Linked DNA regions of Arabidopsis thaliana. The protein of the gene in region 2 interacts with the protein of the main gene of each other region in a pairwise test. Each region holds a gene or a part of one and is shown on either strand. Other genes may lie near its edges. The genes, in order: BCAT-2 and AT5G43520.

Region 1 (3,933 bases), on a different chromosome or scaffold from region 2:
TTTTTGGGTGTTTAGAGTGATTCAATCTTATCTGTGTTACCTGATAACCTTGATCACTTGCGATCTCCATCACACTTTTCCGCGTAATCCCTTCAAGAATTGTTCCATTAGTTGCAGGAGTTGAGATTGTCCGACCCTGAATCAATGATACAATTAGGATGCAACAAAGAGACATGGAGACACCACAATATATCTTACCTTGACAACAAAGACGTTGCAAGAAGAAGCCTCCTCTAAGTACTTCTTCTTGACAGAGTCGAGATAAAGAACGTCTGAAAACCCCCGACTCTTGGCTCTGCTCAGTGCTTTCAAAACCTACAAACACGTGGTTTATCAAAACTCTTTTTCTGACTCTGGTCTTTGAGAAACTAAGTTGGTTTCAACACTTACTGGCGCATAATTTGTGATGCTCTTGACGCCTCCAGCTCCACCAGGAGCCGCTCGGACATATTCTTCCTCAACATAGAGGTTAAGAGCAGCCATCCCTTCCTACAAATCAGTGAACAAAACATTTGCTAATCGTTCCATCGCCAAAAAGCATGGACATGCAAGAGTATTGTATATACCTTGAAGTAGTTACCAACTGGAGATGCATAGACAATGAATGTATATTCAGGTGCAGGACCTAAACCAAGTATTGGACCACTTCCCATCAACAAAGGCCTAATGTACAAAGTCCCTTTCCCTGCAGGAGGAACCTGAACAAACACATCATCACTTATCAGATCCCAAAAACAAACCTCTTCAGAAGAAATATACGTCACAAGAAAGCGTTTTTACCCAACGTTTGTTTGCAAGAGCGGTTTGTTTAACTGCATTAACAAACTGATCAACCGAAGGAGAAGGCATGAGCATCCGTTCAGCGCCAAGCTTCATCCGGATAGCGTTGTGATCCGGACGAAACAAAAGAAGCTTCCCATTTTCTTTCCTGTATGCTTTTGTACCTTCGTATATCGCCTGCAAAGAATCCCAAAACCTCTATTGATCATACAGTTGAGAAACAAATCAAGAAACATTTGGGGGTTACGAGATCCTTGCCTGTCCATAGTTTAAGACTCCAGCAGAAGGACTTAGCTGAATATTCCCATAGGGACTAAGTTCTCCTTGAGTGAATTCGCCGTCTTTTGAGCATTTCATGACATACATGTAATCAGCTGGATTTAGACCAAACCCGAGATTATCCCAATCCAAATCCGCATATACATCATCTCCATTTCTATATGATACAATTACAACAAATTTGAAACAGAGCTTTTTCCAATGGTAACAAAATATCTATATGACCTGGCTGGATCATGAAAAAGAGAACTTACTGATAAAGAGGTTTCTTACGCTCTTCTCGCAAAGCCGATGCAGCTTGTGCGTTGTACTTGGCGAAAGTTTGTAGCTATTTCATCAGGACAAAAAAAACAGAACATAAAACATGTTTGTATCTGAGATCCGAGTTATGTCTCTAAGTAAGTAATCATCATTAGATTGTAAGAATCCAGTTTATACCGTACGAATATGTAAATGAAGAGGTAGAACCAGAGTTTTGCGTAGAGATGTGATTGTTTTGATCATCTTCTTTTGCAGAGCCTCTGTTTTAATTCTCTTGATTTCAATAATAATAAAAAAAACAACAAAATAAAGAAATGAAGAGAGAATTTTGTTGAATGATATACCGAAAAAGAAGGTGGAAGAGAAAACACAAAGAAGAGTGTCAAATTAAGTATCCAACACGTAAGTGAATGCGGAGCTTATGTACAGTGTCTGCTTTTATCTTGGCAAATCGTTGAATTTGTTTTATTTTTTTTCTTATTTTTATCTTTTAGTGGTAAGAGTTCTTATCTTATTTTTGTGTTTCTTTTGCTTCGTCACTTGTGTCTATCTGCCCTGATCAGACAGATCTAGACGTGTCTTTCTGAAACTAGATTTTAACGAAATCAACGGACTATTGTTCTTTTCTCGTTCTCTTATGGGGTAAATAAATGAAGAAAATTAGTGGTGTATCTTCAAAATGGAGATTTCTATTTTTGAACTGTAAACTATTGTAAGTTGGTATAAATATCAATTTAGCAATGTTTCTTCGGCACGCAATTACCTAAAGTATACAAACAAATACTTGACGAAAAAACAAAATACAGACAAGTACTAATTTCAGTAATTTTCCATGAGATGTGAAATAGTAAACTAGTGATGTGAAAGCCACGTTGGACCAAGAGGTCTTTGTCGGATAAACAATTTTCTTTCCATGTCAATCTTTTAGACCATATTGTTGTCTTTTCAACGTCTTTGTCCGTAACTACCCAAATGGGAGATAAACACGTTGTGGAGATTGACAGCCACGTCAGTCTGAGAACTTTTCTTATCTGATAACAACGTTTTTGCTAAGATGGCTTACTAATGAATATTGATGTCCCTTTCCAGTATCGTCGTATCACTAGTGTCATCGACTATTAGTACACACTTGACGCGAGCACACTCCTTCGTTTTCTTATAAATATCTTTAAAAAAAAAAATTCAAATTATAAATATACCAAACCTAGTGGAACAATCAACGAACCTCATTTCTTTGAAAAATCTTAAATCGCATTTGTCGTGTCTTATCAAAGAATCTTAGACAGTCTTGTGTGTGGAATCTACAATATTTACAAAAAAAAAAAAGTTTCGACAAAATTGTTTTTTTTCTAAAAGCGAATATACCGCCGTAGAGTCTGGCAAATAGAATCTGAGGAGGCTGATCATACAGCAATGGTATTTTGAACCAATGGTGGCAAAATGCCACAAAGACAAACCATTAGATTACATATCCTGACCTTGAAGTTGAAGGTCTTTAGTTTTGCTTTTGTCTCTTTGGAAGAGTGAAACAAATGTTTAATACTAATACGATGTGGTGATATATCACAAATTTATGTCACAAATTTACCAAAAACTATTTCAAAAGCTTTTGATGGGTGATCAAGAGAGTGCAACATTATTTATAGGATATGAAAGTAACTTAGGCAATCTGCAAAACCCAATCTTTAGTGTCTTGGATAGAACCAGTTTGTATTCCGACAAGAATAGATCGAAGTTGCTGTGTAACAATCCCATCTCCAACTTTGTACTCAGTCCTGCAGATTATTTATCAACAGATAAATGTAAAATTCTAAGCATATGTATACATGTATCCAGAGAGGAAGAAGAGACCTTGTGTTCTTAAAAGTGATGCTTCCAACAGAAGCAACTCCAGCGGCAGTTCCAGTGCAGAAAACTTCTTCAGCTTCCTTCAGTTCTTCTACCGGAACACTTCGTTCTTCCACCTGAGTCCATTACACACTTATCAAAACTTCCATGCATCAAAAGTATTCCTATTTTGAAACAGAGTATTGCTCTGTTTTTTGACTCAAGATTGGAAACGGTGTTAGAAGAAAAAAGACGTGGAATAACTACTAACTTTGTAACCAAGATCAAGGGCGATTTCGATTATGCTCTTACGTGTGATCCCTCCGAGAATCGTTCCGCTCGTAGCTGGTGTCACTATTGTATTGCCCTGAAAGACTCAATAAACTTCAATTAGTATACAACAGCATCATTAGAACAAAAAAAATCCCTTCCACTTTTGTCTTAAATAGAGTGTTTGTTAACCTTCACAAGGAATATATTAGCAGCAGAGACTTCTTCTATGTTCTTCCCAGTATCTGCATCAAGATACAAAACATCCGAAAACCCTCTTGATTTTGCTCTTCTCATCACTTCAAGCACCTTTCACAGTTAATCACCAAAACAATTAACACTTACTTTGGAACGAAACACCTTGCTTAGTACTTGAAACTATATAGGATGAGTGTTTAAACTTACTGGACCGTAATTGGATATTGCCTTTACACCACCAGTTCCTCCAAGATAAGCGCGTGGAATCACCTCCTCCACATACAGGTTCAACGCCGCTGTGCCTTCCTATACAAGCAA
Region 2 (3,912 bases):
GATAATGTGTCAGTATTATAATCATTACAAAAACTGTTTAAAAATTTGATATATCTTTTGAAAATTTGATAGGTACATCAATACTTATAAATGAATCTAGTGATGAACAGAGAATATATTCTTTCAGTCCAACAACAAGTCCTTTTGATCCACGCTCACTGAACCAAGAACTTAAAATTGGGAGAATTGGTTACTGTTTTGATTGCGCAAGAGCTTGTATGAGACGGGGTAAGTATATTCGTACATGTAGTTTTGAAAGAAAACTTTGTCGTTGCAGTATTAGTGATATTAAATAAGGCATTGTAACTTTGTTAAACATTAATAATAATAAAAAATATTGCTGTTTAATGTTCATCCATGTCCTTCTTTTTACAATAATGAACATGTATAATAATCTAACAGTTTTGTAGTGTGCATTAAACATGAAATTTATTGGGAAACATAAGTCCTTGACAAATAAAAAAATATTTTTGAAAAATTAAACTTATTCATTATAATCAAGGAAACTGTTAGTTTTTTTCTAAACATTTTACATTTAAACAAATTTATTTTGCTCATCTATACTGTAAATCTATTTTATTATATAAAATACGGGTTTGAAAGTTTTTTAAAGGGTCAAAGTTTTTAATCACCGTCACATCTCTAGATAAATAAGGTTCCAATATGTTTGATTATGTTACATATTTACCTAAACCTCTTCCGAGTTACGATAGAGAAAATGAAAGAAAACAAATCTTCAAATCAACTTAAATTTTTTCTTCTTCTTCATATTGCAAAATAAACAACTTACACACGAGTGTTTATGATTAAATCCACACAAATAAACAAGAACCAAACAAGAAAGAGTAATATATCTATTGTTTCTTTATTTTTGGAAACCATATTTCGCAAAGAAAAATATCAATATTCATAAATATATTCGTCCCTTCTTGATCACCAATAGTATCTACGTTTTGGTTCATCCCACAGATCAAGTGCAGCATTCCTCGCATCATTCTCAATACGTGCCTCTAGCTGCATAGCCGCCATCTCGTCTTGCGCCTTCATCAACGACTTTATCCTAGAAGCTGGAGAACTCGCTTCTCCTTCTTCGTCTTCATCTTCTTCTTCTTTCCCTTGGTCTTCATATGCCGCACATGAGTGTAGATGTGTTCCATAGTCACAATCCTTACAGTAATACATCCATAGATCTTCTGAAATAGTTTCATCACAAGCGCTGCAAGTGAAGTACGTGTCTTCACGTCCTTTACACGGTGTGCAATAAAGAAGAGTGAGTGGATGTTCATGATCTTCACGATCTACGGTTTCAGGGATAAACGCACATCCCACATGAAGACTGTAGTTGCAGTTTGAGCAATGGTAAGAAAATCCAGATCCGTATTGGTCACACGCGTCACACGTGTAGACAGACCGATCATCTGGTGGGGAATGAAGCAAGGTCAGAGGGTGGTCCTGGTGAGACTTGTTATTGGTCTCACTAGGAAGGTCGAAACATGACTTGTGTAAGAAGTAATCGCACTCTGACTTTATACATTTGAAAGCTTGCCCGGTCAGCTCTAGCTCGCAGCCAGAGCATGCGGTCTCATCCTCTTCTTTGGCTTTAAAGACACGCAGCGGATGGTTGTGACTTGGGTGCCTCACAGATTGGCGATTAACCGGTTTGGCCTTTGGTTTTCTTGAAGCCATTTAGTATGTTATTGATTTGTGTTTGGTTTTGGTTGTTTTGAGGGAGAAGGGTGTGGAACTTTATATACCAAAAACTGCAAGAGGACTTCATTATAATTGTAGGTTTAATGAGTATGCGTTTCGTTTTATTGATTATATTAATCAAGTTGTCATTGTATTATGCTATTTCGCTAATTATAAGGTTTGACATCTGTATAGGAGACTTTGACATTTGGGATTCAAAGTTTAGGAAATAAAAGTATTTAGACGCGCTTTGGTGTTTATTATTCTAAGATTAAGATAACTTGTAGAAATAAATATTCTAATTAACATCCGAGTTTTATAGCAACTAGGGCATATCCGCATAATATATATATGTGTGTGTGTAGAGAGGATAAGGTTTAATGAGGTCAACGTCTCTAAGTCTATGCTAATTATTATCTAATTTATCTTGTGCAACTTCCATTTGATAAGGTTAATTGGTTTAATATAGTTTTGAGTAATATATTGTCGGTTGTCTCCCCTCTTCTCACCAAAAAAAAAGGTTAATTGGTTAACCATAGTTTTAAGTCTTAAAACAAACGAAAACTTCTGTACAGATCAATTCCCTACCAAAAAAAAGAAAGCAACAAGAAAACAACATGCATAGATCAAATAATGTGAATATAAACATTCAAGTGGTGCTTCAAGTGATGATGTAGTGAGTATTCTATATAAACTACATGCAAGCATCATTATTTATTTATATTTTTCTTAAAACTGTATCCAGTTCAATCAAGGGAAATTAAGAAATGCTAATATATATGCAAGATCTAAATTTCAAATATGGTTGGAAATTTGATCATGTATTGGAATATTATTAAAAACTTTGACGGTTTAAAGATAGTGTCATCCCCGTTAGAAAAGTTTCAAATCTATGCAGTTTCAGGTATATATCTTTAAAAGTCGAAAAATTCTTTTTCTGATTTCGTTATACAAGAGTCTCCAAGTTTATCATCATTTATTACTAATTTAGATATTGAAGATGCTGCACAAAAAGTAAAAAAAATTGATTAATACTTAAGGGTTTTTGTCACTTAAATCTCTTAGTTAAGGGTTTTTTCATTAATAATATAGCTGAGGGCTTTAAAATGGATTTATCGATACTTGAGGGGTTTTTTTCGTTTAAATCTCAAAAACTTGTTTTTTTCTTTTTTTTTTGGTAAAACAATCTCAAAAACTTAATACCAAATCTTATTAATAATCAGGTTACAACTTAAAAGACTTTTGTTTATAAGACTTTGAAGAATAATTTGTTTCTATAGATAAAAACTGAAAGGTGTTTGTTCAAAAAAAAAAATGAAATAAGGTGATTTAAAGATTTTCTTATTAATAAATAATTTAAGCAATTTATAACTAAAAGATATACATATGTAGAAAGAGTTTGGATTGATTCGAGGCATATAAGAATTTAATTGATTTGGTCATCTTTAAGATCATAAGTATTAATAAGGAATCCAAAAGTGATTTAAGATTTTGTTAGAAAAGCAAGATAGGCATCATGAGTTAGTATATATATAATATAGAACTTTTTGATATTTTTAATCAAATTATATTATATATTTATTAGTTCCTCGAATTAAATATTTTAAATAAAATGTGGGCATCAATAGTAATTTTTGAAATCTAAAGTTTTAAACATGTAATTGTTTGCACTTATTAGATGTATATTACTATTTATACCAATATATAACAGATTTTAATAACTAAAAAATTATAATTTTAAAACAAAAACAAACGTAATATGTTACTAAATTTTACTTTATAACAAAATAAAACGTTTAACTGAAAATTAACTCTTTATATAACATATTTATCTACAGAGTCTATAAATATGACTAAATATTGCTTTAATACTCCAGAGCAAAACAAAAGAAAAACGATTCACAATAATATTTAATATATTTTCTTTGTGATATTGGTTAATTTCTACCAAGAAATGAAGTTGCCTATTATATTCTTAACTCTATTAATTTTTGTTTCTTCATGTAAGTTTAAATTATTTAATTAGGATAATGTGTCAGTATTATAATCATTACAAAAACTGTTTAAGAATTTGATATATCTTTTGAAAATTTGATAGGTACATCAGTACTTATAAATGGATCTAGTGATGAAGAGAGAACATATTCTTTCAGTCCAAGAGCAAGTCCTTTTGATCCACGCTCACTGAACCAAGAACTTAAAATTGGGAGAATTGGTTACTGT

Evidence for each region.
Region 1: the proteins of AT5G43520 (region 2) and BCAT-2 interact in a two-hybrid assay, tested with the Arabidopsis thaliana proteins (one large-scale study listed by BioGRID).

The regions. Positions count from the first base shown.
Region 1 is NC_003070.9:3,285,885-3,289,817, reverse strand, and holds the start of BCAT-2 (branched-chain amino acid transaminase 2), read right to left. Parts: upstream 1,732-3,933; 5' UTR 1,564-1,731; coding exon 1,498-1,563; exon of another isoform or gene 1,388-1,497; coding exon 1,314-1,387; intron 1,217-1,313; coding exon 1,039-1,216; intron 958-1,038; coding exon 781-957; intron 699-780; coding exon 567-698; intron 490-566; coding exon 391-489; intron 316-390; coding exon 199-315; intron 137-198; coding exon 41-136; intron 1-40. Other genes in the region: BCAT-1 (branched-chain amino acid transaminase 1), read right to left, coding at 2,981-3,095, 3,172-3,284, 3,419-3,514, 3,610-3,726, 3,823-3,921. UniProt on the Arabidopsis thaliana protein: Converts 2-oxo acids to branched-chain amino acids. Shows activity with L-Leu, L-Ile and L-Val as amino donors and 2-oxoglutarate as an amino acceptor, but no activity for D-isomers of Leu, Ile, Val, Asp, Glu or Ala.
Region 2 is NC_003076.8:17,484,506-17,488,417, forward strand, and holds AT5G43520 (Cysteine/Histidine-rich C1 domain family protein), read right to left. Parts: upstream 1,805-3,912; 5' UTR 1,687-1,804; coding exon 934-1,686; 3' UTR 726-933; downstream 1-725. Other genes in the region: LURE1.4 (Putative membrane lipoprotein), read left to right, coding at 73-296; LURE1.5 (Putative membrane lipoprotein), read left to right, coding at 3,644-3,692, 3,788-3,912.